Drosophila melanogaster: one gene and its partner. The protein of the gene in region 1 purifies or fractionates together with the protein of each later gene. This does not show direct contact. Each region holds a gene or a part of one and is shown in the gene's direction. Other genes may lie near its edges.

Region 1 (5,017 bases):
CAGGTGAGTGCTAGGCTATAAATATTTGAATTTAAGTTGTTCCTAAGCTTACAGTATAGCATATACCTTTAGAACTATTTTCGATTGATCTATTGCCGATTATAAGGAAGGGATTTTGGTATTTTGGTATGTGTTTCATTGCCAAGATCCCATTATTTATATCCCTCTATACGATGTCTATCTATAATTGCAATGCTACGTCACAATATTGGTTTTCCTGATATCTGTAACTCTCTTAATCGCATTTAATTTCTGTGGGAGGAGATATTGCACGACATATGCTCATATCTCTGCTATATTTCGTCATTTTTTTTTGCGCTAAGATTAACAGCTTATCAACAAGAAAGTTTTCGTTTTGAGATAACGCAACTATCTAACCAAATTCAATAATCAAATAATGCCTACCAAATGTCGACTAGGTGTTTTTATTGTTAAGCATGAAATGCAAAAATAGTTCACCATGATCGTCATTTTCATATGAAATAGTTGTCGTCCGCCTTATCAAATCGAAATACTTCCTAATGTAAATGCCTTAATTGAAATGTTCAAAGACACCAAACAGAAACCAGTGGCATTTCAACAACGGCTTGCACTTTTTCCTTAAGTATTTTAACTAAAAGTAACGAGTGCGAGCAAGATGCACGACACTTGTGACGTAGATGCGCAGAAAAGCCTTAAGTTGCGCACTTGATTGTATACTATCTTCTATCAACGGTGCCGTGTTCCTGATGACCAGACTGCTGACTCCAACAAACTAAAACTATATAAATATTTAGATAGTAACATATGATGATTCTCTGCTTTTCAGGTGGACCCTACGCAACTTTTGCGGGTAGAGATGCCTCGCGAAACTTGGCCACTTTCAGCGTGGTTTCAATTGACAAGGATGAATACGATGACCTGAGCGATTTAAGTGCCGTGGAAATGGACTCTGTGCGGGAATGGGAAATGCAGTTTAAGGGTAATTAAATCATATATATATATATGTATATGCTCAGATTCATAGGTAAACTAACGTTCTCATTATGTTATTTAGAAAAATATGAGCTGGTTGGTAAGCTATTGCGCAAGGGCGAGGAACCAACCAACTATGACGATGATGAGGACGAGGAGAATGTTAACAATGATGAACAAGAGCGAAAGAACCTACCCAAGTCGAAAACTGAGACTGATGACACCAAACAAGAAAAGGAAAGTCACATTTTGCAAAGCAATGTAACAAACAAAAATAACGCACAAGATCAGGCCACTCCTTCTACCGACTGTTAGCGAATCGGGTTTTTTGTTTTGCTTTTGGATGTGGCTGTAATAGTTTACTTTCGGTTAGAAACACAACAAAACTAAATAGCATTTCCGACTCTTTTTGATGCTGCCTCTGCTCCTTTAAAATCGAGAACAAGACCTATTTGGAAAACATTTAAAGAACACGCCCCAATTTGAACCGTACAAATCAAGGCATTAAATTTATCGTGAACATTTCAAAAGAATTTAAAACAGATAAAATCGTTTTTGAATGTTATTCTTAGAGTGCAGCCTTGACAAAAGCTATAGTTGTTACTATAATTCACGTTGTGATGTGATCTTGTTCCATATATTATAGTCGTATATTCATACAAATGTAACAAACGGAAATCATAAAATTATTTAAGGAGGAGGCCAATGTGTGGAGGGTATGGGAGTCATTTTCGTGGCAATATAAATTTAAATGTAACTATATTTGAAATACAAATTAAATACTTAAACGTTCAATATCTTTATTTGGGAGGTGGGGGAATCCTGAACTGCAAGAAAAGCAAAAAACAGGTTTTTTTCCTAATAATGGATTTTGATTTATTCCATTTGTTCCCAGTATTTTTTGAAACCAACTTTTCGCATCTTGTTATCGGTGTGAAACGCCCGAAATCGCGGCCACCAGTGGAGACTGGCCGCTACTTCGATAGTTATCATAATGTTATCCCCTTGAAAATGATTTTCTGCAGCTATCGAAAATTTGGTCCGTCTCTGAGAGACTATGTTGGTTCTTTGTGGTTAACAAAATTTTCGGAAAATAATATTGGATTTTATGTAAAATATACATAATAGCCGTGATGACAGTTAGTTTGGTAGCGATGCTTATAACGCGTTGATGCACAATCGATCGTTTTGGCCGTTCGTTGTGCGTTCGGTGTGTGTGGAAAATGTAAAAATGTACGAACAATCGCATACAGTTCACAAAAATTCGTCGTCGTCGTCGTCGTATTTGTATTTGTCGTTGTCGTATTTTGTATGTACGTATGTCGCAATTAGAAAAGTGTAAGTGTGAGCGAGATGACACTATTGTTTCTGTTTCTGCGCTGCTTCTGCAAATCTTTAAGAGAAAAGCCAACTAAAGTTCTGCGAAAGAGTAAAAATAAAAAAGAAGCTGCTTCAAAATGTTCTCTTTAATTAAAAAAAAAATTATTTTATCGTAATTTTATTTGCAAAGGCAACGGTGTGAAACTCTGGTTGAATGGTTTGTGCACTCGCTAGCGGCAGACTTATAGACGGCACGAACACGGAGGCATAGAGAAAAAAGGCCGAAAGAAAGAAGGAAAGCAAGAAAAAAAGCAACAGCAAAAGCAAAACCGAACTGGTGTATATAAATATACATACGTATACTCGTACGAATTTATATGTACGCATGCATGTACGTACATATATGTGCATACATATATTTCAAGAAGAAGAAGGCGAAGAAGCAGCAGAGGAGGAATACGAAGAAGAAGAAGAGTATATGACGAATGATAAAGTGCTAGACAAAATAAATATGGACTATTTTCGGTGAATTCTCATATCGGCTTTATGTTATTTATTTTTTTTATTATATTTTACATCTGTTCTGATTTGTGTGCAATCCCACTGACCCGAAAAAACAATAAGTGTTTGTTGTAAAAAAGAAGTGTGCAGAATTAAATATTATGTGTGTGTGTACAGAAAAAAGCGCAATAGGGAAGTTGACTACAAGAAAAAGAGCAAACGAAATGAAAACAACTTGTACAATTATTATTTTTAACCAAATTAGTGACTCTAATCAAATATGTTAACCGGTCGGAATGTGAAAAACCCCACAGTGGCCACCAAATAACAATATCACGTAAAAACAGTCGGCGCAGCATCGATTTTTTCAAAATACACGCGATTGAATCGGCCGTAGTAGCACCTTAAATCCAATATTTGTAAAGCTTTCTCGCCTTATCGCTGGCATAGAAAACCCCTCCTTCCAAAGAAAAAAAAAAAAAAAGTAAAGAAATATAGATAAAAATAATAGTCGAATGCATTGGAAAAGGTTTGGTCCAGATAGCAATATACATAATAATGCTCATCGATAATTTGTATTCCCAAGGAAAAGGAACTGAAGTGTAATCCACTGGAAGCTTTACGTAGCAAAAGAAATGGACACATCAAATGCCAGCGCTAAATCAAAGACGTCTGCGTCGGGCAGCAGTAGTATTAATGGAATAGGATCCCAAATCAAGCATATATCATCGTCGCAGGACATCGGATCCTCCGTTCCCGCTGTCCCAGTCCAGGATGAGAAGAGCGAGTCGCACTCCCACTCACATTCACACTCCAGCTCCAGCTCACAGTCGTCCCAGTCGCAATCGCAGTCACAGCCACAGTCCACAGTGCTCACGGTAGTGGGCCAGAGTATATCAAAGAGTTCGACCGGCGCCCTGGCGGTACTGCATCTTCCTCCGCCGACGGCGACCGCCTTAGTTCAAGCAAGTGCCAATATAGCCGATCTGGGCTCCATGCCTCGTGCTCGGCCATCGTTTGTATCGAACACCTCCTCGACGGCGGCGACGACGACGACGGCGACGTCGGCATCGGATGGCGGCAAAACCATGGCCGTGGCAGCGATTCCCCCGGCATCACCTGTCTCCATATCGGAGCCCACCTGTCCATCTGTTTCGACGGTATCGATGGCTCCCAGTGCCTGTGACTTTGACTCCGACACGGAACTCTCGATTGTGGCAGCTGCAGCGGCCGTCTCCGCCTCAGCCGGCATAGATTCGCGATCCCCGACGTCTCCTCCGACGGCGGCGGGATCCACAATAATGCCACAGCTGAATTCCAGTGCGGGAGGCACTGCTAGCATAGCCGGTAATCAGTCCGGCTTCGGAGCGGGATCAGGAGCGGTGGCTGCTGGGAATACCAATGGCCACAGCACCACCTCCAGTAGCAGTACTCATCTGAGTCTGAATGCCAAGCAACAGCGCCAGCAGAAACGCCGGAGGGAACGTGCCCAGCGTTTGCAAGCGGAACGCGACAGTCGATGCAATGCCAACTCGCTGAGTGGCACCTTCATAGCCGGATCCTCTGTGGGGGTCGGCAGTGCCATGAGTGCGGCCAACGGTGGCCAGGGAGGTGGAGTTGGCCTCGTCACGCCTAATAGTAGCGTCGGTGGCGGATCCTCGGCTGTTGCAATGGGCAACGGATCGGCGGCAGGACCCGGCAACAATGGGATGATCTATCACATCAACAGCGCTGGCAGCATGGGCGAGGATAGCAACAATTCAAATGGAAATTTCACCAGCAGCAGCAATGGCAGCAACAATCTGCTGCCGCCCACAGATAGTATTGCATCGTTACTCCTAAATCCACCACATTCCCCCGAGTGCAACTCGGGATTGATGGCCACGCCTAGCGATAGCGAGGGTGAGTCGCTGGACGAGGATCTGCTCTCGACCTCGTCCTCGTCCACACTGCTCTTGCCGCGCGACAAGCCACCGCCTCGACCACCACCTCCGGTTCGAAGAAAGCTGCCACGATCTCCGGTGCTCGAGGAGGAAATCATCGATGGATTCGCTATACTGGAGTTTAAGACATACGAGGATCTTGAGGTAGGTTTCGTTGCCATTTCATTTCATACGTGCACGCAGCCTACTGTAATAATCTTTCTTCACAACAGTTTGCCATCAAATTGGGACAGAAGCGGAAGGAGAAGCGTCTATCCGCACTGGACGAGCTAACTTGTACCTACAGTATAGAGGAAATG
Region 2 (4,908 bases), on another chromosome or scaffold:
AGGCGCAATTGAGCAGCCTTTTGAAACAGCTATCCAGGTGCTTACTTCTAATTTCTTCATACTTGAGTGATACACTGACAGTAATTATGTACAACTTTCGATGAATACAAAAATTAATGGTAATATGTGTGTTTACACTTTTGTGTTTACTGAAGCGTAAATAAATAAATGCTTAAATGATTTCATATTATAACAAATATTTCTTAGTATTATATATAAATATATATATATATTTTTTGTGTGTGTTTTTATTATTAAAGAAATCCTTTTGAAGTACGCATGTTTTCTTTGTATTGAGACTGCTGAAAGAAAATGTAATTTATTAAAGAGCCGCTCAATTTTTCCCTGTGCACTCCCTTGCAACATTCCGGCTGGCCTCCCACGCGCCAGGGCCGAAAGCAGAGTAAAGTCCTGGGGAATAACGCCCTTGGAATCTCAGGAGCCGCGTGCCAAGACGAAAGTGAGCAGCGAGAAATGCGTGGGCTGAGCATGGATTTCGTATGGCCGTTTCTTTCCCTCGCCGACTGTCTCCCTCTCTGTCTGCTTGGCTTTCTTTATTGCTCCAACGGTTTTCGCTGCTGCGTGGGACTTTCATTCATGAAAATTGTGCTCGAAAGTCGTTCGTTCGTACATCTGTATATAGTAGCACGTTGTGATGGGCCTTACCTAACGGTATATGGTGTGTATGGGTGTGCGTTTTATGTAAAGCTAGTGCAACGCAGGCGCAGCAGGAAGTTTGTTGTTTGTGGAGAAATTTTTGCACGCGCCGCATATCCTTGAAATTGTCCTTCCATGCGATTTCTGTATGGGTACACACGTATATCCTTGTGTGAGTCTCTTCTTTTTGGGTGTAAATATCAGGGTCATGGTTATAAAATTAAACATTTCATCGAGTCTCCAATATAACTGGCTCTTGGAGGAGCATTTGCGCAGGAGCTTTCGTTAGAGAGTAGACAGCGACTCCATTGATGATTCCGATTCTTCTGGGCTCCGTAATTTCTTATCTGTCTAAATTAGTGGTCCATTAACTTTTGCACTCTAGTGAAGTGAAATGTTAACCGCGCTCTCGCAAAAAGAGAGTAACAATAAAGTAGGTTCCATCGCGAAGGGTAAGGTGGGTGGTGGTGGGAGTAGTGGGAGAGTGAGAGAGAGCTAGTTTGGATGGCGAATTCAATGAATCAACACGAACACACGCATTTTACTTGCCACACGCATACCACAGCACAAAAATATCAATGAACTTTACACAAAACTTTGGGAGCGTATGCAGCGTGGAGAAATAGTCAAAGTGCCAAAAGAGTGCGGGAGAGAAAGGCAGGTGGGAAATTTGAAATACGAACCCAGTTATGAAATAATTATTTAACATACGGGAAAATATGATTATTTAATATATTTAAAAAATTTTATGTAATTTATAGAATTAAAACAAAGTCTTTACTTTATCTAAATTTTATTCAGGAACTCTCTTTGTATTTACTTTTTTCCCCATTTTTTCTCCTTTTTTAACCGAGCAAATTTCCAAGTGGGTCTGTGCCTGTGCACTGGCTCTTGCTCACCTTTTGGAGAGTTGCTCTTCTCTCCGGTTCGCGTACCTGTGTGCGCGGGTGCGTTCTTCCTTTCATTGCGTGTAACGGACTGTTTGTTTCGAAATAGTAATTCCCAAATGTATTTTTTTAAACGAGAAGGCAAAAAGATTCAATATTTTATAAGTTATTTCTTAATACTGCGCCTAACAAATACAATATTGTTATTGGGTTTCGCTCTTCGAATTCCGACGGAGAGAATTGGAGAGTCGGAGAGCAAGTGCAACTGTGTTCGTATTTTTGGAGAGCAACGAGGCTATTTAAGCAACCCACGACGCGCTTATTTTGTTATTGCCCGATTATCTTTTACCCGCGCTGCTTGTGTGTGCTCGCTTTCCATTCGAAAAAAACATCAACTCAAAATATGGATATTTGATAGAAGTAATTACCTATTTGTTTGGGAAATATTCAACGGTTTTTGGATGTTTTAGTTACTCGATGACAGGTTCACCGCACGTTTTTTCATTCGATTCCGAACTGTTGTTGTTGTTTTAGCGAAGCACACCTAAAAAATACAAAACCACTCACACACACGCGAAACATACACACGGTTGTGATTTGGCGCGCTCTTGTGTGCGTGTGTACATACAACAAAAAGCAAAAAGCAACGAATTTCGGTGTGCAAAGAAACATAAATCGGCAAGCGAGGAAATCGGAAAGCCAAGAAACAAAAAAAACAAAACAGTGCAAGTTACAGATTTCCCCAAACGAGATAAAAACAAAAATTCCTTTTTGATTTCCAAGATTTTCATCTGCGCGGGAGTGTGTGTGTGTGTAACAGCAACAAATACCATTGCACGGCCAAGAAAGAAGAAGAGAACCAGCGCGAAGCAGAAGAAGAAAGATGATGTAAACTTTGTTGTAACCAAAAGAAAAAAGAATAACATAAAAAACGAGTGAAGCAGAGAACAGAGCTAAACGGGAAAAATAGTGGCAGTGCTTCGAATTCTTCCAGTCTTTGAGTGATTTTTTGGGAGCTCTTCAAAATGCCAGAAACGGAGCACGAGACCTGCAGCAAGGAGTGGCTGCAGTCCCAGTTGCGATCCCTGGACTCCAAGGACCTGATCCTGTTGGACTGCCGCGGCTCGCACGAGTACAGTGAGTCGCACATCCGCGGAGCCGTCAACCTATGCATACCCAGCATCGTCCTCCGTCGTCTGGCGGTTGGCAAAATCGATCTGGCCTCCACGATCAAGTCGCCCGAGCTGAAGCAACGCATCCAGTCGGGCTACAAGCTATGCTGGTTCATCCTCTACAACGGCGAAGGCGTGCCCGGCCAGAATCAGGAGATCGCCGGAGCCGGATCCCTGGCCGTCGCCATGGACTCCATCATCAGCATCCTGCACCGTCGCCTCAAGCAGGACGGCTGCCGCGTAGTTGCTTTACAAGGTGAGTCATAAGTTCAATACTTTGGGTGCCCCAAAAAATAGAACTACAATATCATAATACAAGTGCGGGAGTTACTAAAACCAACTAAGGTTTATATATACCTCTCAATTCCCACATTTAAACTCACGTAATTAATCTTATAAATATGAATACTATCCATGTTGATTTCATAGAATATGTACATATTTGAAATATTAAAGCTTCAGTAATAGAAATGACTAAGTAAATCATTATAAACATAGTAGAAAACCGAAAAATTTCATCCAAAATTTCCCCCCTTAATCTCGTTTGATTAGAATGTAATAACTAAAGTAGTAATATTAAGATTTACATTGTGATATTCTTGGAATGCAATGAATCAATATTACGAATGGAATTTTTTGTTAGTTTACTACGCACCTGTATCGAGAACGGAACTCTCCATTTGTTGATCATAGCTGTGCTATCGGATTCTTTAAATGCCTGATACTTCCCAACACCGCCCATAAATCAATGCCGCACATTCCTATCCTAGGCCTAAGAATATCATAACTTATTTATACTTCCCCAATGTTGTTTGCGGCATTTTTAGCCCGAAACCCCCAAGGAAGAAACCAAAACAAAACAAAACAGCCGAAAGAATATTAATAATACAAGCAAGCACTGCCTGGCCATAAATAAACATTTGCATGGATTTGTTATTGTTTTTTTTTTTTTTCGTTTTGGCGAAACAAGGCAAGCATTCTGGGGGCGGAGACAAAATGACAAATGCAAAAAAAAAAACTAGCAAAATATAATGTAATCCGCACAGCTGATAAAGCTAGCGCCAGATTAGAATTATATTTAGTCTGACTGATCCTGTCCTCCTCCTCTCGCATTCTGATTATAGACATACACTGCATAGATTTCACCTTTCTGAACTTGTTTTTGGTTGACACGATTTTGTTTGACTTTGATAGAAAATTATAATGGCAGGAATTTGTTAGTTTATATATGCTGTGTCTTTTGTTTCCTTATCACAATTGCATGTAAGCTATATTAAAACTTGCGCAAAATATCAATCCAACCATATCGGCGGATATATATGTATATGTAGTTATACCACCCCGCATGCCCTTCCAATTATGCACTTTATTCTGAAACACTATGCCCCTCCTTGATTGGCCCATATCAATTAAGGAGCGATTTAAATATAAATGTGTTTTCAAAATCGTTTGGTATTTTACAAACACGTTCGGAGATTAAGGAAGTCATAAATAAACATCACTGCTGTCGATGCTTTTGAGGTCTTTCCACTATTGTTGGCTACACATTTTCTTTGTGCTCCCGTATAGATTTGTGTCATTCAGAAAAATGTCACAATTGCTTTTCAGCGACTCCGAGGCTCGACTCCCATGACTCAAAGCCACATAAATTGTCATATATACTATATATGCTATACATATGCTTATTTATGTATGTGCTGCCCTATATGCCTGTGCACATAGTCGAAATATATACATAATTATCTGACGACTGACTATGGCTTCGTTTTTATTTTTATCACTTCAATTTCCGCTCGCTTACAAGTCCCACAGAACCCCGTGATTGTTTGGATGTATGTACATATGTATGTACATATACACACTTTTTTGCCGAACAAGCTTTACGCACGTTCTCCTCTGCCATTCAAATGTTTTCTGTTTCTTTTTTTTTTTTGTGTCTGCCTGCTAATATCGCAAATTGACAATAGAGCGTCAACAAATGGACCGGCTTTTCAGCCTCCCAACTCTCTCACCCCACCACCCATCTCTAAGATACTTTTCTTTTTGTACCGATTTCATTTCGAAAGATAAATAGAACTTGAAAGGCCGTGGAATTAGCATAACATAAGGTGCCATCTCAACTATGACGTCAAGCCGTGGAAAGAGATGGCACTCTATGGTGGGAAAGAGATCGCTGCAACGAAGCATCCTGT

The links.
Region 2: the proteins of tay (region 1) and Mkp3 purify together in Drosophila melanogaster (affinity purification with western blotting; one study listed by BioGRID). This does not show direct contact.

Annotation. Positions count from the first base shown.
Region 1 is NC_004354.4:15,884,288-15,889,304, reverse strand, and holds the start of tay (tay bridge), read left to right. Parts: upstream 1-1,993; 5' UTR 1,994-2,267; exon of another isoform or gene 2,268-2,292; intron 2,293-3,361; 5' UTR 3,362-3,410; coding exon 3,411-4,862; intron 4,863-4,930; coding exon 4,931-5,017. Other genes in the region: MSBP (membrane steroid binding protein), read left to right, coding at 1-3, 809-961, 1,037-1,269.
Region 2 is NT_037436.4:19,083,385-19,088,292, reverse strand, and holds the start of Mkp3 (Mitogen-activated protein kinase phosphatase 3), read left to right. Parts: upstream 1-1,866; 5' UTR 1,867-2,569; coding exon 2,570-2,972; intron 2,973-4,908. UniProt on the Drosophila melanogaster protein: Negatively regulates the activity of members of the MAP kinase family in response to changes in the cellular environment. Has a specificity for the ERK family.